3 linked regions of the Stegostoma tigrinum genome follow. The main gene of each other region encodes a partner of the protein of the gene in region 3 in a complex. Links are inferred from orthologs where the notes say so. Each region holds a gene or a part of one and is shown on either strand. Other genes may lie near its edges. The genes, in order: itgb8, itgb6 and itgav.

Region 1 (7,871 bases), on a different chromosome or scaffold from region 3:
ATACTACTGAAAATCTAAGATTAATGATAATTTATTGTGATATGTACATAAAATGTCTCCCTACTATTTTGTTTGCTTATTCACGAATCACTCTTCAATAACTTTAACGATTACCATCTTGAAGTGAAGCCAACAATATTTATACAGTACATTTAACACAGAGGTTGTAAAGTTTTTATAATACAAAAGGCCCTTTGGCTGGTTGTACCTCCACTGGTCATCAAACACTCATCTATTCTACTCCAAATTCCCAGCATCTGGCCTGTGGCTTTGTGTTTTCCAACTAACCTGTTCGGTGTTTTTGTGACACATCTCTGGAGTAACTGGGATTTGAACTCAGGCTCACTGGCTCAGAGATAGGAACACAATGCTACTGTGTTTCAAGTGTTCACCTAAATTGTCCCTAAATGTCTTCAGGGTTTATACAAGTGTTAAATATTAATACATCCCAAGACATTTCACAAGAGTGAAAACAAAATTTGACAACCAGCCATACAAGGAAATGCTGGGACATTTGACCCAAAGCATGATCAAAGAGGTAATGAGCATCTTTAAAGAGATGGAAAGGTTGGGCAGGGTAATTCCACAGTTTAACAATTAGGGAACTGAGGTTACAGCTGACAATCATGATGCAAAGGAAATTGAGGAAAGGCAGGAAGCCAAGAAAAGTGCAGAAGTCTCACAGGGTTATATTGCTGAAGGAAGTTAAAAAATAGGGAGCAGTATGGCCATGAAGGATTTGATAACAAGGACAACAAGGTGTAGCTGGGCTGACAGCCAGTGGTTTACAATAAATATTGTGTGACTGGTGAACATGACTTAGTGTATGTTAGGGCCAAGCAGCAGTGTAGTATGTGAGGCCAGGTTTTTAGAGGCTATAAGATGGGGCCAAGGCAGGAATGTATTGCAATAGTTAAGTCTTAGAGATAACAAAGGTATAGCTGATGAAAGTGTCAGCATGAAAGTGAAAGCACAGATGAACAAAGTGACAAATGTGAATGTTAGCAATCTTGAGGATGGAGAGGATGGAGGGAGAAACATGTTTAGATCAGAACCACATATCACTAAGGCTGTGACCTGTCTTGTTCTGCCTGGGATGGTGGCCTAGTAAGTGTTCAGTAGATAACAAAGTGTGGGGCTGGATGAACACAGCAGGCGAAGCAGCATCTTAGGAGTACAAAAGCTGATGTTTCAGGCCTATCAATGTTCAGTAGATTGGGTTTGTGGAAGTGACCAAAGATGAGGCTTTACTCTTCTTGCTATCCAAATGGAAGAACTATAACCTCTGAACACTGGAATCAGACAAGTTGTATTACAAAGCAGAGTAAATGCTGAGACCAACAGGGCTAATAGTGAGGTGAAATGTGTGTCATCAGTGTAGACAAGGTAAAGCTAATGAATTCGCTATGAAGGAATACAGGTCGCCCTATAATAGGAAAGATGTGGATGCTTTGGAGAGGGTTCAGAGGAGGTTGACCAGGATGCTGCCTGGACTGGAGGGCTTATCTTATGAAGAGAGGTTGACTGAGCTCGGTCTCTTTTCATTGGAGAAAAGGAGGAGGAGAGGGGACCTAATTGAGGTATACAAGATAATGAGAGGCATAGATAGAGTTGATAGCCAGAGACTATTTCCCAGGGCAGAAATGGCTAGCACGAGGGGTCATAGTTTTAAGCTGGTTGGAGGAAAGTATAGAGGGGATGTCAGAGGCAGGTTCTTTACGCAGAGAGTTGTGAGAGCATGGAATGCGTTGCCAGCAGCAGTTGTGGAAGCAAGGTTATTGGGGACATTTAAGAGACTGCTGGACATGTATATGGTCACAGAAATTTGACGGTGCATACATGAGGATCAATGGTCGGCACATCATCGTGGGCTGAAGGGCCTGTTCTGTGCTGTACTGTTCTATGTTCTATGTTCTAATAGCCATTTAATATTGGCCCTCAAATATGGCAGATGTGTTGTCCTCAACAAAAAATATTTCCATTTAAAGCACACACCTTATTTATTCATGAATTAATTACATCATAGTCATAAACCCTTTGGTTTTGAATCTGATTATTTTTATTATTTGGGCCATTATTTGTGTACCCTTAAGATGGAATGATTCCCCATCAGGACTATAACATGCATTGCACAAATCATGCATCAGGAACAAGACATCAACAATCAAATCACCTTTTGAAAACACCATCCACATTCAGGACCCAGGAGGAGGCATTCGCTACAACGGTTCGTTTTTTCAGCAGTGCATTTGTTCCTGGCTGGAATATTAGAAAATGTAAGCAATTAAAACGTTGGGATTCGATTCCACTTTGGGCGCCAACAATCAATCACAACCTTACGTGTTTTGATAGCTGCACGATTGAATAGAGTGTGCATCCATTCAATCTGGACGAGTAGCAGCCCTTCTGAACCACGAATCCTTTTGTTTTTGAAAAAAAAGTGTGTAAAACTGCAAGAAATTACAAACGCCACGTCAAGCAGACACTCACCACCTGTCTTGCTGGCTGCAACTGCGATGGTCAAAATGTGAACGACGCTTAAGAAGACCTTGGCCGGGAAGTGCCTGGGTTTTAGGAGTGAGCCGGTTGCGAGAATGAAGACGCGCAGCTTCATGGCGTGAGGAAGCGCACGGGCGAAGCGATTGAGAGGGGCTTCGGGCTGCGGAGAGTCGCGCACTGACCGCAGGATGAAGCATCCCAGAGCACCAGGAGCTCCCAGCACAAGCTGCCCAGGGACGGAGCTCTACTTCTCCTTCTCCTCTTCCTCCTCCTCCTCCTTATCCTTATCCTTATTCTCCTCCTCCTCCTCTCTCTCTCTCTGTCTATTGTGCACTGAGCTTTGGAAATCCCTTTATTCACCCACTCATTCACCCAGAAGCCTATCGTAAGTCGAGGGACGAAAGAAACTACTCCCCCAGCAGTTTAAACAACTCTCTTTAGTCCCTCCTAGGAGTTTCTCTGTCGGAGAACACGGAGAGAGGAAAGCTTTTTTTCTCAATAGACAGATAAGTGAATTGGGGGGGAAACAAACTGTAAAAGTTTAATAGCAGATTCAGACACCAACTCTGGCTACGTCTGAAGCCGCAGCTTCTGCAAACACGTTTTCACTCGACTTTTCAGATTGTCTGAACCTCAATTCACTGTTGCCACAGAAACGCGGAGCAGAGACCGTGCTCGACAAGGCAGTTTCCTTAAAGGTGCAAAACTCTCCTCACTCCTCAGTCAATAACATCAAATACCATGACGGTCTGTTCCATATTAGCCGCCAAATGTAGCCTGTTCAAAACAGCATCTCGAATAAGTGTTCCTTAAAATTGTTGAGAAAAAGAAATAATAATTTACCTTTAAGCACAACCATTTCTTCCAGTGTGGAGTGCCGAAAGCCAAATGTTTTATCAGCAGACTAAAGTTTTGACCTTTTTAAAAAAAAAGAAACAAATCAAAATACTATGGATACTGGAAATCTAAAATAGAAAATACTGGAGAAACTCAGCAGATCTGACTGCATCTGTGGAGAGAGAAACAGACTTGGGGTACCACTGTTCTTCGGAACTGAACTCAAACTGAGAAACTGAGTCCTGAGGAAGTTTTTGGACTCCAAACTTAATTCCGTTTCTCTCTCTCTACAGACGATGCCAAAACAGCTGAGTTTCTCCAGTATTTCCTGCTTTTATTCACTGATCTTTTAGGTAGGAAAAACAAACAAAAAGACTTATCAAATGATATGTTTCTTTGCAGTGAGTCACTGAGACTGGTTCCCAAATTAATGTGTCCAGTATTATTTTTGGAAAATAAATGCCTCAAGAAATCATTAACATCACTCGGCCCATCAAGCCAATCCACGATTATGGCCCCTTTTCCTACAAATCTGTAGTTTATCTGGAATCACCATGATCATCAAACAAACCCATTATTACTGCCGTGAACCAAAAAAGATGGAGACAAGATCCCACAAGAAAACAATTATCAGCGTGTTTCTAAGCAAGTGAAATATCAAACTGAGATAATGGGAACTGCAGATGCTGGAGAATTCCAAGATAATAGAATGTGAGGCTGGATGAACACAGCAGGCCAAGCAGCATCTCAGGAGCACAACCGCCATGAAGCTGCGCGTCTTCATTCTCGCAACCGGCTCACTCCTAAAACCCAGGCACTTCCCGGCCAAGGTCTTCTTAAGCGTCGTTCACATTTTGACCATCGCAGTTGCAGCCAGCAAGACAGGTGGTGAGTGTCTGCTTGACGTGGCGTTTGTAATTTCTTGCAGTTTTACACACTTTTTTTTCAAAAACAAAAGGATTCGTGGTTCAGAAGGGCTGCTACTCGTCCAGATTGAATGGATGCACACTCTATTCAATCGTGCAGCTATCAAAACACGTAAGGTTGTGATTGATTGTTGGCGCCCAAAGTGGAATCGAATCCCAACGTTTTAATTGCTTACATTTTCTAATATTCCAGCCAGGAACAAATGCACTGCTGAAAAAACGAACCGTTGTAGCGAATGCCTCCTCCTGGGTCCTGAATGTGGATGGTGTTTTCAAAAGGTGATTTGATTGTTGATGTCTTGTTCCTGATGCATGATTTGTGCAATGCATGTTATAGTCCTGATGGGGAATCATTCCATCTTAAGGGTACACAAATAATGGCCCAAATAATAAAAATAATCAGATTCAAAACCAAAGGGTTTATGACTATGATGTAATTAATTCATGAATAAATAAGGTGTGTGCTTTAAATGGAAATATTTTTTGTTGAGGACAACACATCTGCCACATTTGAGGGCCAATATTAAATGGCTATTAGAACATAGAACATAGAACAGTACAGCACAGAACAGGCCCTTCAGCCCACGATGATGTGCCGACCATTGATCCTCATGTATGCACCCTCAAATTTCTGTGACCATATGCATGTCGGTGCTCCTGAGATGCTGCTTGGCCTGCTGTGTTCATCCAGCCTCACATTCTATTATCTTGAAATATCAAACTGAATCCAGTCCTGGGAAGTGAAGAGAGGGAAATGGAGTGCATTGCTGCAGGAAAGGCATTTAGGTAATTGTGATTCTAATATAGTAAGGTTTGGAGTAGGAGAAAGGAGATTCACATGTTACGGAGTCTAATTGCAGGAGGTTTAATTTCAAGTGTTAAAGAAATGGATCTGGCCCAGTTGTATTATAATTGTAGGTTGGTAGGTGAAAAGGGTATAGCAGAAAAGTGATCTTACTGGACTTGGGGTCAAGAACTTAGAACATTACAGCGCAGTACAGGCCCTTTGGCCCTCAATGTTGCGCCGACCTGTGAAACCAATCTGAAGCCCATCTAACCTACACTATTCCATTATCATCCATATGTTTATCCAATGACTGTTTAAATGCCCTTAAAGTTGGTGAGTCTACTGCTGTTGCAAACAGGGCATTCCACCCCCTTACTACTTACTCAGTAAAGAGCCCACCTCTGACATCTGTCCTATATCTGCCACCCTCCAGTTTAAAGCTATGTCCCTTCGTGCTAGCCATCACCATCCGAGGAAAAAGGCTCTCACTGTCCACGCTATCTAATCCTCTAACCTTGTATGTCTCTATTCAGTCACCTCTTAACCTTCTTCTCTCTAACAAAAACAGCCTCAAGTCCCTCAGCCTTTCCTCATAAGACCTTCCCTCCATACCAAGCAACATCCTGGTAAATCTCCTCTGCACCCTTTCCAATGCTTCCACATCCTTCCTATAATGCAGCGACCAGTACTCCAAGTGTGGCCATGCCAGAGTTTTGTACAGCTGCAACATGACCTCATGGCTCCGAAACTCAATCCCTCTACCAATAAAACCTAACACACTGTATGCCTTCTTAACAACCCTATCAACCTGGGTGGCAACTTTCAGGGATCTATGCACATGGACACCGAGATCTCTCTGCTCATTCACACTACCAAGAATCTTACCATTAGCCCAGTACTCTGCATTCTTGTTACTCCTTCCAAAGTGAATCACCTCACACTTTTCTGCATTAAACTCCCTTTGCCACCTCTCAGCCCAGCTCTGCAGCTTATCTAGGTCCCTCCGTAACCTGCAACATCCTTGGCACACTATCCACAACTCCACCGAATTTAGTGCCATCCACAAATTTACTAACCCATCCTTCTACGCCCTCATCCAGGTCATTTATAAAAATGACAACGAGCAGTGGCCCCAAAACAGATCCTTACAGTACACTACTTGTAACTGAACTCCAGGATGAATATTTCCCAAAAACCACCACCCTCTGTCTTCTTACAGCTAGCCAATTTCTGATCCAAACTGCTAAATCACCCTCAATCCCATGCCTCCATATTTTCTGCAATAGCCTACCATGGGGAACCTTATCAAACGCTTTACTGAAGTCCATATACAACACATCAACTGCTTTAATCTCATCCACCTGTTTGGTCAGCTTCTCAAAGAACTCAATGAGGTTTTTGAGGCATGACCTACCCTTCACAAAATCGTGTTGACTATCCCTAATCAAATTATTCTTTTCTAGATGATTATAAATCCTACCTCTTATAATCCTATCCAACACTTTACCCACAACAAAAGTAAGGCTCACTGGTCATTAATTAACAGAGTTGTCTACTCGCCTTCTTGAATAAGGGACAACATTTGCTATCCTCCAGTCTTCTAGCACTGTTCCTGTAGACAATGGTGACATAAAGATCAAAGCCAAAGGCTCTGCAATCTCCTCCTGAACTTCCCAGAGAATCCTAGGATAATTGGCATCTGGCCCAGGGAACTTATCTATTTTCACACTTTCCAGAATTGCTAACACGTCCTCCTTAAGAACCTCAATCCCATCTAGTCTAATAGCCTGAATTTCAGTATTCTCCTCGACAACATTGTCTTTTTCCTCTATGAATACTGATGTAAAATATTCATTTAGTGCCTCTCCTAATGCTTCGGAATCCACGTACAACTTCCCACTAGTGTCCTTGACTGACCCTAATCTTACTCTAGTCATTCTTCTATTCCTGACATACCTATAGAAAGCTTTAGGGTTTTCCTTGATCCTACCTGCTAAAGACTTCTCATGTCCCCTCCTGGCTGTTCTTAGCTCTCTCTTTAGATCCTTCCTGGCTAACCTGCAACTCTCAAGCGCCCTAACTGAGCCTTCACACCTCATCTTTACATAAGCCTCCTTCTTCCTCTTGACAAGAGATTCAACTTCTTTAGTAAACCACAGATCCCTCGCTCAACTACTTCCTCCCTGCCTGACAGGTACATACATATCAAGGACACGCAGTAACTGTCCCTTGAATAAGCTCCACATTTCAATTGTGCCCAGCCCCTGCAATTTCCTTCCCCATCCTGTGCATCCTGAATCTTGCCTAATTGCATGATAATTGCTTCTCCCCCAGCTACGGCTGGTGATTTAAAATAAACAAATCAGTATGGAACTACAAGTTAGCCCAGGTAACAGAAAAATGAAATTACCAGATTGTTGTAAAACAGCATTTGGTTCAATAATGTCCATTAGAGAAGGAAATATACTGTCCTTACCAAGTCTGGCCTACTTACAACTTAAGCTTCCAGTGTATGACTCTTAAACGTGCTCTGAAATGGCCAAGAAAGCCATTCAGTTGTCATTAAAAAAAACAGCTCACCACCACTTTTTTAAGGGAAATTGGAATAGACAATAAATGTTTACCTTGCCAGTGGCGACCACATCCCATTGATGAATTTAAAACAAAGCAACATATAGGCAATGGGAACTTTCAGTGTTTCAGTGCAGAGAACATATATTTCACAAGGAGAAACAACAGGGCATCCAAAGCTACGAGTTCTATGGATGGCTAAAAATACAAAGTATTGCCAAAAAAAGAGAAATTTTCTTGAAGCTTTTTAT
Region 2 (7,411 bases), about 20 Mb from region 3:
GATATGTGAAGTATTTCAAATGGCACTTTGTAAGAATTCAAGATCAGTGCATTAATGCAAGAATGAAGGATAGGTATGGCAAGTTACGTGAACCTTGGATGACCAGGTATGATATGACTTTGCTCAAAAAAGGAAAAGGGAGCATAGATAAGGTCTAGGAGGATGGGAACTGACAAAGCCCTTGAAGTATCTAAAGAAAGTTAGAAAGAACTTAAACAAGAAATTAGAAGAGCTAAAAGGGGTCATGAAAAGTCATTAGCAAGCAGGATTAAGGAGAATCCCAAGGCTTTTATACATATATAAAGAACAAGAGGATAGCCAGGGAAAGGGTTGGCTCACCCGAGGACAAAGGAGGGAATCCATGTGTGGAGCCAGAAGAGGTGGGTGAGATTCTAAATGAATACTTTGTGTGGATATTCAGGGGGATTTTAAAACGGATGTGCAAAGCAAGTTTTTCACACAAAGGGTGGTGAATGCCTGGACTGCACTGCGGCTCTTTTGAGGTGGAAGCAGACACAATAGTAGCATTCAAGGAGCACCTGGATGAATACATGAATAGGAAGAAAATAAAGGGATATGGATCCTGTAAGTGAAGACAGTTTTAGTATGGAAGAGCAAAATGTGTCAGTGCAGGCTTGGAGGGCTGAAGGGCATGTTTCTGTGCTATACTGTTCTTTGTTCTTTATTATTTGTTCTTGTTCATTATAAAAACTCTTGCAATCTTCTTTTATATTTCTAGCTAGGTTCTCCTGATATTTCATCTTCTCTCCCTCTATGCTTTTTCAGTTGTTCTCTGCTGCCTTTTAAAGCTTCCCAATTCTCTGGCATCCCACTATTCTTTACTGTTTTGCCTGCTTTTTCTTTGGTTTTGTGTTGCCCCAACTTCCCTCATCAGCCATGGTTATCTCATTCACCCTCTTTGTTATGTTTCTTCATCCTTGTCATGAATTTTTGCTGTGCCTTCCGAATTACCCCCAGAAGCCCCTGCCGTTGCTAGTCCATCATCTTCCCTGCTAGGTTCCCCTTCCAATCAACACTGGCCAGCTCCTCATGTCTTCAAAGTTATCTTACTCGATTGTAATACTGTTACATCTGATTCCAACTTCTCCCTCTCAAACTGCAGAATGAATTCTATCATATTATAGTCACTGCCCCCTAGCCATTCCTTAACCTTGAGCTCCCTAATCAAGTTTGCCTCGTTACACATCATTAAATCCAGAATTGGCTGTTCCCTAGAGGGCTTCACCATAAGCTGCTCCAAAAAAACCATCTCATAGACATCCCGCGAATTCCTTTTCTAATTTTGCCAGTCCACTTGCATATTGAAGTTCCCCATAACAGTATTTTTCTGAAATATGTTTTCTATTTCCTGATTTACTTCCTGCCCCATATCCTGACTAATGTGTGGGAGGCCTGTACACAACTCTCATCAGGGTCTTTTTGCCTTTGTAGTTCCCTGAATCTACCCACACAGATTCTACACCTCTGACTCTATATTATTTCTTGGCATTGATTTAATTTCATTTCTTACAAACAAGCCAACCCTGCCCTTTCTACCTATCTGTGTGTACTTTCAATAGGATGCACATCCTCGGATATCTAATTCCCAGTCCTGATCTCCATGCAGCCATATCTCTGAAACCCACAACATCATACCCACCAATTTCAATCTGTTCCAAAGACAGCAATATTGATTTGAATTGACATAATGTCTGTTGAATGTCAGCCAATATGAGGTATGTTACTTATCAGTGACAGGGAGAAAATACAGAATCATATTGGCAACAAAGTCAATAAGGTAATTGCCACAGAGCACTGTTAGGTACATGTGCCACATGAAGGCTTGATAACAGAACCTTAAAAATTTCTATTTTGTTAAAAATGATTAAATTTCAGTAAATGTGATCATTTCAGTAGGTAAGATAAACATTATCATGAATGGTACTGCTATTTTGTAATGAAAATCCATTGATTTATTAATACACTTTGAAGAATAAACTTCATTCTTCTATACGTGAACCCTGATCACACATTTTGCTTAAACCTTAATGCTCTCAGAGCAACCAGCAGTGAGCAATAAATAGTGCTTCAACAGCTTTCCTTACATCCCAAGAACTAGAAAAAAGAAACTTTTGACTTATGAGACACTTTCTTTTATTCCTTTTTTGACATTCCCTGCTGTCCCTGGCACTTTTCTATTTGAATAGTCATCCTGCCATAAACTCTGTGTACCTTTAACCTTTTCGAAGTCTTTAGACTGGCACCTTGTCAAATGCCTTTTGAAGGCCCCAGAAAATCTCAGTAGCAGTTACACTGAACATACATGTCTAAAACCTACATAATCAGTCAATGAACTCTTTGGCAAATGAGCTTATAGTAAGAGCACTTTCAAAATATCTGAAGCAGCTTCAAAAAATGTGATAAATAGCAGCACAGATTTCAAATACTTATTTGAATAGCTTGGCTGCTTTTCAGTTGGAACTACTAAAATCAAGTCATGAGAGCTGAATAATATAAATTATAATAGAAAATAGGTTTTTTTCACTACGTTACTTTGAGTTTACACTTGTCTCTGCGTATTGTGCTTATTCATTCTCTCAACTGAAAGAACATAATTTGGAGGGAATCTGTAACCGTAAATTGTACATAGCTGTTTTGAAAGAGATGTTTTTTCAAGAGTGCTTGAAACATTTTCCTTGTTCCACATTATTACATTTCAGGGAGGATAACATGATGTGTCAGCACTTAGGTAAACACACACACCCCACTTCTCAGCTCGTTTGATCTATTATGTATACAATGTTACTTAGCCCTTGAGAAAGTATGGCAATCAGATCTGATACAAACTTACCATGTACACACTTAAAACAAAACATAGTTTGCCATTGTTGGGGAATTTCCAAACAGGAAATTAAGACAACAACCTGCACATCACCACCAGGTTTTCTACAATCTCTGACTCAAAAAGACGCATTACGTACCTTGCAGGTTCTTCATAGGGATCCTCCACACACCAGAACAACCTGACTGGCCATGATGGGTTCTGTGGGTGGAAATGATAGACTGAGCATGCTCTTAAAAAATGTTTCCATCATGACATCACAAGTTGGCAAATCAGGTAGCCTTTTACTCCTCCTTTGTGAAAATGTAGGTGTTACATTTCAAACTAGTTTATTTTTGATCTACAACTAACCGTGCCAACTTTGCTCCAACATTGCTAACAAAACTCAAATTTTGTAAGACTTGGAAATGGCAAGGATAATATGTGAAAAATACCTATTTGTTGAAAGAGTGAGAAAGCTCCCACAGGTTAGATAACCTATCACGGTCTTCACGGTTCTGAATCCTTGATACATTGTAGGAGGCATCACACAGTGGTACCAATTTTGTAAATGTCCCAGCTGAGGAGCTCCGATTACAGATTTGTTACTTCACAAATAAATCACTTTATGCGGTTGCAGCATTAAAGTTTCAGCAGTACTATATTGAAAAATACAAGATTTTTGGATTTGACAGGGTAGATACAGAAAACCTATTTCCCATTGTGGGAGCATCTAGGACCAAAAGATATAATCTCAGAATAAGGGGTCACCCATTGATGAAATAAATAGGAATTTGTTCTGTCAGACGGTTGTAAATCTGTGGTATTCTTTATTGCAGAGGACTGTAGAGGTTGCTGTAGAGGTTTCAAGGCTGAAATAGGCAGATTTTTAATCAGTAAATGAATCAAGGTTTATGGGGGAAAGTCAGGAGAGTGGATTTGAGGATTTTCAGGTCAGCTGTTATCTCATTGAATGGTGGAGCAAACTCTGTGGGCTGAATGGCTTAATTTCACTCCTATGTCTTGGGGTCTTTTGATCCTATCCCACTTGGTTGGCTTACAGATCAGTCAGGGTCAGGCATTAAATGCTGGCCTAGCCAATGATACCCACATGCCATGAATGAACAATAAAAACTGATGAAGGTATGCTTGATGGATGCAGAACAATAAACTTAATGCTACCTAATTGAATTCTCAATATATCTATAGTTTGAACAATATTATTGAATATTGCTGTCTGTTGTTACAACACCTTTAGGGACATAACCACCTCTGAAATATCCCATTTTCCCCTGGAATTCACCATAACCCAGAAACTGAACAGCATTGGAAATAAAGTGGCTACAAGAGCAGGTAAGGGTTTGGATTTCTGCAGCAAGAAATTCATCTCCTGATGTCTTAAACAATGCCCATCATCTACAATGCTCAAGTCAGGACTGTAATTTAATAGACTGAGTTTTCCTGGGTAAATGTAGCTCCAGTAGCACTCAAAAGGCTCAACATCATCTAGGACAAAGCATCCATTTGATTGACGCCCAATTACTGCCCAGCAATACACAAGGCCAGCAAAGTGTATCATCTATAAGATATGTTGCAACAACTTACCAAAGTTCCTCTTTAACACCTTCCAAACCCTCAATCTGTCCCACCTTCAAAGGATACTAGGAAGGTCTAGGCCCAAAACATCAGCCTTCCTGCTCCTCTGATGCTACTTGGCCTGCTGTGTTTATTCAGCTCTACGCCTTGTTATCCCACCTTCAAAGGAGATGGGCAGCAGATACATCTGAACAGCATCACCTGCAAGGTTCTCTCTGATGCTGTTTGTGGTTTGCCATATGTGCTATTCAACATAGCATAGACCATAAATCATGGGTTCTGTTGAATCAGGCAGTTAAAGTTAATTTACAAGACTGAAAAATAAAGTTGCATTATCTCATAATCTTTAAATAGAGAGAGGCAAAACTGGTGGTGGTTCAACCTGAGGGTCACCATGCCCCGGGGAGAGGTTGAGAAGGAGAGTCGTTCATGGTAACATTGGTTGGTGGCAGGAATTGAACCTACACTGTTGGTATTAGTTTGCATCACAAACCAGCCATCCAGCCAACTAAGATAACTGACTTCCATTTATAAGACGTACAACTATCACTTGTTTTAGATGTGCAGTTGTTGACTAGTATGATTTCTTCAGCTTCTGAACAGTTATCCAACATGACATGTACATGGCATTTAGTTATTCAAAGGACTTGACCATTGTTCTTTATCAAATAATACGAGCAAGAGCAGATAAAACAAAGGCTATCTTACATCAATCTGTGTGCTTGTATAAAATCTCAGATTCATATGTTTTCTCTTGGTTCCACCTGTATAGCTGTTTGCACACTTGTTAATCATGTTGTTGCACCACTTTCTCCCTCTTTCCAACTACACCTGGTGCACATGGCTAGGCATTGAGAGTGTGCGAAGGAAGAACTGTCTGTATCAGCTCCAAAACATAAGAGCTGCCAGTGGGAGTAAACCACTGGCTTGAGAAGTAAGACATATATTCACACACAAAATTTCAGCAAGTTGCTTTACATTTAGTTGTTGGAGACTTTACAGTATGAGCAGTGTGTTCTGTGGGGGTAATAAAGAAAGGACCTTATATGGTGACCACCCGATTTCCTGCACATGAATTGTCAGGATGCACTACTGTACTGTGGACCATTGTTAGACACCATTTTTTTGACAATTATTGAATTTGGCAATTATGGCATTCAATGTGTCAATAACCAATGTACCAATGGTATATTTAATTTGAAATTCAAAAGACAATTTGATGAAATAGTTAATCGCCAGAATGTACTCTTGTAATTGGCCATGGAATGTGGCAATCTTGCCCCATGGTTCAAAAGAATCTCATGTGGATGGAGAGGTTTTCAATTGTTGTGTTTGATGGGATTGACATATTTCACACAAACTGGGAGAATAGAAGGCATATTGTCACTGGGCTAGTAATCCAGAGATCCAGGTAATGATCTTAGTGTGGTCCCAGATATTGAATGCCATCTTATCAGATGGTAGATATAGAATTCAAGAATAAAAATCTAATGATGACCATGACATCATTGCCAAATGTCATACAAAACAAGCTGGTTCACTGATGTCTTTTCAAAAAGGATACATGCAACCTTACCTGGTTGGTCTCCAGGTGACTCCAGACCCACAGAAACATGGTTGTCTCTTAAATATCTTCAGAAATGGCTAATTAAGCCACTCAATTACATCAAAATGCAAAGAAGCCTCAAAGATATTCCATTCTAGACAAAGACATTCCAGCAAAAGTTGCTGCACAATAGTACAAAGTAGGGAGGAAGTTGCCCTGGGAGTCTTCAACATTCACTTCAGATCCCCAATAAAAACTCATGGTATGAGGTCAAACATGGAAAAGGAAAGCACATACTACCACCCAACCACCTCAGTTGGGTCAGGGACATCAATGGCCAAAGCCCAAAAATGAGCACCACTTGCCCTATCCAAGTTTTAAAACTTTTTCTGGTATTTCAACTTTACAGTAGCATCCAATTTCCATTTCATTTTAATGCAAAATGAAAAATGCATGGCCCCATAACATTTACAGCACATGTATATCTGATCCAGTTCAGCAGCCCCAGGATATTCAGACTGGAGGATTCAAAGGTGACATAGCCATTGAATGTCAAGGAGCATTATTTATATTCTCTCCTGGTGGAGATGTGATTGCTTACCACCTGCGTGTTGTGAATATTCATAACCACTTATCAGCCCAAGCCTAAATTTGGTCCAGATCTTGCTGCATATGGACACAGGCAGCTTCCATATCTGAGGAATCACAAAAGATGCTCAACATTGTGCAATCATCAGCAAACCCATTTCTGACCTGATAATGGAGGGAAGGCTGTTGATGAAGCAACTGAAGATAGTTAAGCCGAGGAAACTACCCTTGAAGTACTCCTGTAGAGAGGTCGTGGAGGACACATGTCTTGCCTCTAACAACCACAATTGTTTTTCATTGTCAAGTATGAGAGCTTTCCTGCAATTCTCACTGATTCTTGATGTTACACTCCCTTGAGTGTGGCCTTCATGTCAAAAGCTGTCACTCTCACCCCATTTCTGAAGAAGGGCCCCGACCTGAAAGGTTAAGCTTTCCTGCTCCTCTGAAGCTGCTTGGCTTGCTGTGTTCATCCAGCTCTGCACCTTGTTATCTCTTACTCTCACCCCATGTCTGGAATTCAGCTGTTTGTTCACATTTGAGCCAAGGCTGTAATAAGGTCAAGAACTGAGTGGCCCTGGTGAAACCCAAACAGAGCATAATTGAGCAAGTTATTGCTGAGCAGATGCTGCTTGATAGCACTGTTGATGACACCTTTGATCACTTTACTGATGATTGAGAGGAGACTGATAGAATGGTAATTTGCCAGGTTGGATTTTTATGTACAGGACATATCTGGGCAATTTTCCACATCATCAGGTAGATGTCAGTGTTGTAACTGTATAGGAAGAACTTACTTAGCTAAGGGAGTGACAAGTTATGGAGTACAAGACTTCATTATAGTTGTTGGAATGTTGTCAGGG
Region 3 (7,700 bases):
AACCCAGAAGGAGAGAAAGGCAGTTTGGCAAACAAAAGGATGGACAATTGTATGTTAGGGAAGGAGAGAAGCTGATAATGTGGACCATAAGTTGTTGAAAATAGACTGACTGTGCTGAAAGCAGCCCAAATGACGACAAGGTCTGGGTATGGGACTGGGTAAAGGTCTTGGAAGATGATGTTCAGGATGTAAACTTATTGAACACAATATTGAGTTGGGAAGGTTGCAGGGTCTCCAAGTGAAAAATGAGATGATGTTCTTCCAGCCTGTGCTGAGCCTCATTGCAGCTGGCCCACAACAGAAATGTTGGTCAGGAAACACAGCGTTGAAGTGGCAGGCAACTGGAAGCTGGAGGTTATTTTTTGTGAACACAGCGTAGATGTTCTGCAAAGTGGTCACTCAGTCTGCATTTTGTTTCCCAGAGGAAGCCACATTATGAGCAGCATATACAGTAGATTAGATTGAGTGAAGTGAAGGTAAATTGCTACTTCACCTGTTCTTGGTTTAATGTATTTTAAAATATTTATTATTGCTTTTTAATTACTCCAGAATCCACTTTTTTTGCCATTCTCTAGTTTAATAAATGCAGGTGACCATATCACGCACTTCTCGATCTGAATTGGGGGCGGGGGAGGTAAATGAAGACAGTAGCATGAGATAAATAGTTTTGACTTTCACTTGTCCCAACTAACCTCTCAGGCAAAGAATAAACAAAACCAAATGATGTTTAGCATGGATGGTAATGGGGTTGGGGGCGGGGTGCCGGCAGGAACTTTCAGCACTTACTGGTCTCATCCCCAATGTTTTAAAATACATTAAACTATTTTAAAAGAATAAGCAAATATATATTGCATTTATCCCAAACAATTTACTATTTATTAAATATTACTTCGGAAAGTTGTCACTGTTGTAGTATTTGGAATACAGTAGCCAATTTGCAGACAATGATGTTCCAGAAACAGCAATGAAACAAACAACATAACAAAGTGTGGAGCTGGATGAACACAGCAGGCCAAGCAGCATCTCAAGAGCGCAAAAGCTGACGTTTCGGGCCTAGACCCTTCATCAGAGGGCCTGCTGTGTTCATCCTGCTTCACACTTTGTTATCATGGATTCTCCAGCATCTGCAGTTCCCATTATTTCTGAAACGAACAACATAGGTGTTTCACAGGTGGTGTCTGGGGGACAAATACTGTCATGGAATGCTATATATTTACCTAACAAGGTAAAACAGTTTAAGGTCACACCAGAAAAAAGAGATGTCCATCAGTGCTGCATTCCATCATTACATCATTGAATTGTTAGACTTGACTGTGTATTCAAATCTCTAGACTTGATCACAAACTCTCAGCTTTCTGACTGAAGGCAAGATTAGGATTGCTAATTGAATAGGGCAAATGTGCTAAACATTCAGCATTGGACATCTCATACATTATCATCCCTTTAATAACAGCTGCTGATGTAGTTAATCTCAGACATTCTAAGTGACCTTAAAGGCTAAATTTCAGAAACTGCAATATAGTGTGCTTCTGTTAGGGAGGCAGACTGACATTTTAGAAAAAACTGAATACTTAAAAAAAGAGTGGTCATATTAACCATGTTCATTTGATCAGACCACTCTCAAAGTCATAAAGGTTGATAGAACAACTGATTAGTAATTCGAGAAAGCATCTCATACTGATTTTTGTAAAATATTTGTTTGAAATCCCCTATAATTATGCATAATATATAATTACTTATATCAGCAGTCATCCTCTCAACTATAGTATTGCATGATTATTTAAAACGTTAAATCGAACCATGAACTTGTATACAGTACCTGTCTTGTCAAATTCAAACTGTTCGCAGTTGCTGGCCCCATTATTCCAGGGGCACTTGTATACTGCCCCACCTTCGACTATGTTTGGTTGAGAAGTATTTGCCTTTGGGGCTCCAACTAAAATACTTATCCTGGTACGAATATAAGAAAAAGAAAAAGTGAGGGGTTAAAGCCTTTGTTCAATTTACTGTATTGTCACCTATCTGCAAGTACGTTTTTCTCGTGCAATGTAACGGATCGATCAAACACAGATACGATAACTCAAGTCATACACAGGTCTGTGACAATCTTTGTCCAGGTACCGTTGTTGTTCAGATTTGACTGAAAGGGCTACACGAATATTTAACAATCACAATACGGTTCTTGCTTTCATTTACTAATACGTTGAGTAGATGTTACAATCGAAGCAGTTCACCAGACCAGCATTCGTTGCACTTAAGTCATAACAGCATTCCTAGACTTAACTTTATGTTTGTTGTTGGAAGAACAAACTTGGTTCACAGTTGAAAAGTGTCCAGGCTTTAAAGCCCCCTCCCCCACCCCGCATTGTTTTAAATCTCTTACTCTGTCGGGGCAGGTGTGAAAAAATCCACAGCAAATCCGAAGTAACTGCCCGGAGGTCCGGAATAAACAGACGGGTTGCTGGCGTCCAGATTAAACCCGTAAGAACAGGAGAGAGTGAACAGAAACACTGCCAGCGCCGGGCGTCCAATGCCTGTAGCCGCGGATGCCATTCTTGTTCGGCTTGTTGTGCTCGCCTTCCAAACTCTTAACAGTTCAGTCCGAGATCCGGGGCGAATGTGAGTGAGCTTCAGAGGACTCGCTGTTTTGTTAGCGGGGTGGATAGCGACTGTACCGACGGGCCGCGGCTTGCCCAGTCAGACAATCCGCCCCCACCCCCCACTTCGCTGCTCTCGCTGTTGGTGGGAGGGCAGCTGCTCCGCTCCCAGACTGTGACTCAAAACTCGGATTTGGAACACAGGCCTGGCACTACCTATGGCAACAGAACCCTCTGGTCTGGCGCTGCCAATGGCAACAGAACAACCTCGCGCACCGCTCGTGTCAGGAAGTGAAGTGAGGAGGATGTCGGATGTGAATGAGGCGGTCTTTCCCCGACCCCGGGTATGAAGGCAGCTTTCCACCGACGTCTTTCTGCAAGAGGAGCTCCACCCAACCAGGCGTCCCGCAACTTAATGCCTGTCATACTTCCACCTCCCCCCCTCCCCGGTCTCCTGCACTGCACATTCCAGCAGACAACTGGGACGGAACAACCCAACTGCTCCGTACAGGGAGATCAGATCGGGTTGATTTCTGTGGGGGTGGGACAAGGTGGGAAACGAGGTGTCGCTGCGCGCTTTTGTGACACACGTTTGGTTCAATTACATAGACTTCTTCCCAGGGAATAAAGAAAAGGGCGAGAGAAACTCAGCAGGTCTGCCAGCATCTGTAGAGAGAGTTATGTTTCGAGTCCAGTAGGTCCCTTCGGATTTCACATCTCTGGCATCAGCAGTAGTTTGTTTTCGCTCTGAAATAAAAAAAAGTCAAAGTAACCGATCTGCAGAATATGACCTCTTAATGGCTCCTGGAGCCAACACTGGTAAAAACTGTGCGAACTGTTTAAAATTGGACATATAACCCACTGCGAAGCCTCCTACAATCACCAATCTAACCGTGATGTTTAGTTTTAGGATACATCGCAAATCAGACGAAATGCATCTCGCGTGTTGAAGTTGAGTTGCTGAATAATAGCAGGGATAATCAGGATATTGACATGCAATGTAAGACTAATAGGAAAGACGTTTTCTGTTTCTTTTTTCTGATTGGCAAAATGTAACTAGTGGAATGCCACAGGGTTCGGTGCTCAGACCCGACGTATTTACAATCTAAATTAATAATTTGGATGCAAGGTTAGAATGTATTGTAGCCAAATTTGCAGACGAAACTAAAATAGATCGGAAAGTACATCGCAATGAAGATTTTTTTTAAAAAAATCATTACAAGTGGGTAGGGATGGGTTAGGTGAATGGGCCAACATTTGGCAGATGGAGTTTAACATGGATAAGTGTTAGGTTCAACATTTTGGTCAGAAGAATAGAAAGACAGCTTATTATCTAAATGGAGAGAAACTTCATCAAGACTGCTCTTAAACCATAAGGTCAGGAATTGGGTTGACTGCAGCAATTCCATCATGTCCACCTCCATTCACAACTTTTCTGTAACCGAAACAAAAGTAGAAAGTGCTGGAGAAACTCTCAACAGCTGGCAGCATCTGTGAAGAGAAACATAGTAAAAGACTGCCCAATTATCTTAGAAATCAACCTAATAAACCTCCCACATTACACACCACCTGCCAGATTTTTTTTTTTGCCCACTCACTTGACCTAACTGTACACCTTTGCAATCTCCTTGGGGTGAATTTTAAGAAATAACACTAATTTCAGGGTATTGCATCAAGGATTTCTCTTCATGAGTTATAGTAAGTTTTCTGATGAATTCTTCCCAATTCACCCCATCATCTATGCATCAAAAAGCCATGACCTTCCAAATTTCCACCACTGGCACCATATTTAAAGCCCAGCTGTGCAGCAGATAAATCACAGTACATGCATTGGGTTGGAAATGAAAAGGAACACTTAGGGATAGATGTGGCATGGTGACACTTCATTGGAAATAGAAGCTGACTGATCGTTGTAGCTATATTACAAGAAACAAGCTGCAGGTTGATTACCTGCCCTTAGTTCCATTCCATGTTAGAACTGTGTCTCAGAGAGAGCTACTCTTTCCCAAGCACACCCTACCTCACTCCCTAATGTTTCCAAGCACACGAACCTCTGTATGAGTCTATTCATCTGTTCCACCATGGTCCTGTAGAAATAATGGGCTACATTAAATTTACACTAAGCATCTGTCAGGGGATTGTACGAATGAGTAATCAGCTGTGGGTTTAGAAGATAGCCCAGGCCTCCCAGTAACCATCCTTGTCAAGCGTCTGGCCTTTGAAGCAAAGCAGAAACATGAGAGTTCTCAAGGATACAGGCATCATTCCAGCTCCCATTGTATCTGGCACAGACGTCTTAGATGTGGTACTGATAATCACAGATCACTGTACATTGATGGAATGGAACCCTTTTCTTTGGATGCAGTCAGCCATGTTATGATATGGTACTCTGAACACGACATATGTACAGTCTATATGTGTGGAAGCTAACTGTAATTACCAAAGCCTACTACACAAGGCACAGCAATGACCTTGCCATAGGGAAATGAGGTAAAGTGGTGTGTTTTCTCACAAATTACATTGCTCGCAGTTACATTTGTGGGTTGAGCATTGAGAGGAATGGAATTAGCCAATTGCATAAACATTTAGTGCAGTTGTCACCTTGGTAGTCACTGGTTTAGAACAACCACTCATCAGTTCATACGTCCTGATCCAGATGATATCTGGAATATTGAGAAACATCCCCAGTGTGTGGCAGCAATGCACCTCATACATCAGGAGGGAATGGCATATGGGATGATAGACTTTGATAGACCTCCTGCAATTCCCTGAGGAGAACTTCAACTGCAACTTTTCCAGGTGGAGGCTGTTCAGCAACCAAAGTTTGCTGCTTGTGTATTTGTGTTTATTGCGTTTGTGTTTCATTAGTTTCTCTCCAGCTTTGTTGCACCACAGCCACAGTGATGATAAATCCAGTGTGGTGGGATCTATCGGTCACATTTCCATGGAACTTATGTAGGGAGTATCAGAAACAGGAGAGGTCCTTATTCTATGAGTGATCAGTTTATGCATCACACACTTGACACAAAACAGAAGTTGCTGGAAAAGTTCAGCAGGTCTGGCAGCATCTGTGAAGAGAAATCAGAGCTAATGTTTCTGGTCTGGGGACCCATACTCAGAAGGGAGGAAAGGCCTGTTCAGAAGAAGGGTCACTGGACCCAAAATGGTAACTCTGATTTTTCTTCAGAGATACTGCCAGACCCTGCTGAGCTTTTCCAGCAACTTCTGTTTTTGTTCCTGCAAATGACTTCCTCAGCTTCCTCACCACAGCAGTAGTCCTTGATAACCCACTTTGATTTTCAGCAAATAAACCCTTCAATCCAACAAACATCCTAATCCCACAACATCCAACTGACTTGGAAGGGCAAACCCAATTGATAAGTATTTGAAAACCGTACTGATCGCCCTGAAGTTCCCTGACTGACCTACTACTAATCCTCTGAATGGTTGCACTGCAGGACTGACCATGACCCATTCTCACCTGGTAGTGAAACAGATCCCCTAGCTGCCCAAACAACTGACAGTCATGTCCAAGCACCAAGAATGAGAAAGATGCTGCCTGCCCTTGACTCTCTGTGCTAGAACTCCTGAATGATGACAGCCTCTTGGGACTTGACTGAGAGCTGCCCCTACTTTGACATGGTCATTTAGATGAAGCACATGCCTGAGGTACATCCTGTCCAATGCATGAGATGGGTCTTTTGTCCCTGTGTTCAAAGCAGCCTGGCTGCAACATTACAATCAAAGATGTTGATGCAATGCTGCATTAAAGTTGCTAACTCTATTCTGAGTCGGAGATGTTCAATGATGACGTCGTGAGGCTGGTACATGTGCAATGTCAACATTGTGGATGAGGGCGGGGTTGCAGATGATCACTGCCCATTCCACATGCACTGAGGTGTTGGACACTCCAGGCCAAGATGGAGTTCTAGTGAAGCAAGTAGTAAGTTGAAGCTGCCAGGTACTCACTTCAATTTTTATGTCATAGAAACATGGAAGATAGGAGCAGGAGGAGGCCATTCATCTATTCAAGCCTGCTCCACCATTCACCACGATTATGGCTGATCATCCAACTCAATAGCCTAATCCTGCATTTTCCCCATAACCTTTGATCCCATTTGCCCCAAGTGCTATATCTAGCTGTCTCTTGAATACATTCAATGTTTTGGCATCAACTGCTTCCTGTGGAAATGAATTCCTCAGGATCACCACTCATTGGGTGAAGAAATGTCTCCTCATCTCCGTCCTAAATGTTTTATCCCAAATCCTCAGACTGTGACCCCGGTTCCGAACACACCCACCATCGAGAACATCCTCCCTACATCTACCTTGTCTAGTCCTATTAGACTATTATAAGTCTCTATGAGACCCCTCCCCATTAGTCTGAAGTCCAGCAAATACCATCAAACCTGGTCAATCAATCTCTCCTCATACATCAGTCCCACCAGACCCGGAATCAGCCTGGTAAACCTTTGCCGCACTCCCTCAGGAGCTAATTTCTCTCTGACATTTGGGAAAATGGCAAATTGAACATAAATGTTATGTGAGCTGGAAATAATGAAATATAAATAAATGCAAATAGACCATTTCCCGCTCACAAGTGAAATTCTTGTCTTGCTTTCAAAACCTGGGATGGAGAATAAGACTTTATTTCTCAACATTGAGAATCTAATTTTCCTGAATTTGTCAGGTATTTCAAGCAGACTTGCCAATCTGCCTTGTCTAAGGGCAAGAACATTGCAACCCATTGTATCATCCTCAAACTTGCTTTGGTACCTATATTTGTATCATCAGTGGATTTGGATTGTTTCTGGTGGATTCCTTTGTTTACATTATCAATTTAGATCATATATAATGAAGGCTCCAGCAATGATCCTCAGGGAATTCCAATTACAGTTTGTCAATCCGACATGATGAATGAATCCAAACTTTTTAGTTCCTGTTAGCCAATCCTCCACCATACTAATAAATCACTATGAGTAAGTACAAAGAACAAAGAAAATTACAGCACAGGAACAGGCCCTTCGGCCCTCCAAGCCTGCGCTGATCAAGATCCTCTGTCTAACCTGTCATCTATTTTCTAACGGTCTGTGTCCATTTGGT

What was found.
Region 1: the proteins of itgav (region 3) and itgb8 are in contact, whole or in part, in a cryo-EM structure (PDB 8TCF), measured with the Homo sapiens proteins. The link is inferred for Stegostoma tigrinum from reciprocal best matches to the Homo sapiens genes ITGAV and ITGB8. Residues at the interface, in NP_002201.2 of Homo sapiens: Tyr48, Phe51, Trp123, Leu141, His143, Gln150, Glu151, Arg152, Pro154, Phe184, Gln186, Phe189, Pro204, Trp209, Asp249, Tyr251, Tyr254, Arg275, Arg278, Thr279, Gln301, Met302, Ala303, Tyr305, Phe308, Pro328, Leu329, Met331, Ser335, Asp336; in NP_002205.1 of Homo sapiens: Ser197, Pro198, Ile202, His203, Pro204, Arg206, Ile250, Asp251, Thr252, Pro253, Thr287, Ser288, His289, Leu290, Ala291, Leu292, Asp293, Lys295, Leu296, Gly298, Val300, Pro302, Glu321, Ser324, Leu325, Gly326, Gln327, Glu330, His349, Trp350.
Region 2: the proteins of itgav (region 3) and itgb6 are in contact, whole or in part, in a crystal structure (PDB 9CZA), measured with the Homo sapiens proteins. The link is inferred for Stegostoma tigrinum from reciprocal best matches to the Homo sapiens genes ITGAV and ITGB6. Residues at the interface, in NP_002201.2 of Homo sapiens: Tyr48, Phe51, Lys72, Trp123, Leu141, His143, Gln150, Glu151, Arg152, Pro154, Asp178, Ala179, Phe184, Gln186, Phe189, Pro204, Tyr208, Trp209, Asp249, Tyr251, Tyr254, Pro274, Arg275, Arg278, Thr279, Met302, Ala303, Tyr305, Phe308, Pro328; in NP_000879.2 of Homo sapiens: Ser183, Pro184, Phe185, Lys187, Thr188, Thr189, Pro190, Ile236, Asp237, Thr238, Pro239, Asp273, Ser274, His275, Phe276, Gly277, Met278, Asp279, Lys281, Leu282, Ala283, Gly284, Val286, Pro288, Glu308, Thr311, Ile312, Gly313, Gln314, Ile316.

What each region holds. Positions count from the first base shown.
Region 1 is NC_081355.1:73,667,394-73,675,264, reverse strand, and holds the start of itgb8 (integrin beta-8), read right to left. Parts: upstream 3,099-7,871; 5' UTR 2,615-3,098; coding exon 2,491-2,614; intron 2,260-2,490; coding exon 2,174-2,259; intron 1-2,173. UniProt on the Homo sapiens protein: Integrin alpha-V:beta-8 (ITGAV:ITGB8) is a receptor for fibronectin. It recognizes the sequence R-G-D in its ligands.
Region 2 is NC_081360.1:59,583,786-59,591,196, forward strand, and holds the start of itgb6 (integrin beta-6), read right to left. Parts: upstream 3,048-7,411; 5' UTR 2,982-3,047; intron 1-2,981. UniProt on the Homo sapiens protein: Integrin alpha-V:beta-6 (ITGAV:ITGB6) is a receptor for fibronectin and cytotactin. It recognizes the sequence R-G-D in its ligands. Internalization of integrin alpha-V/beta-6 via clathrin-mediated endocytosis promotes carcinoma cell invasion.
Region 3 is NC_081360.1:39,317,816-39,325,515, forward strand, and holds the start of itgav (integrin alpha-V), read right to left. Parts: upstream 3,073-7,700; 5' UTR 2,554-3,072; coding exon 2,384-2,553; intron 1,951-2,383; coding exon 1,820-1,950; intron 1-1,819.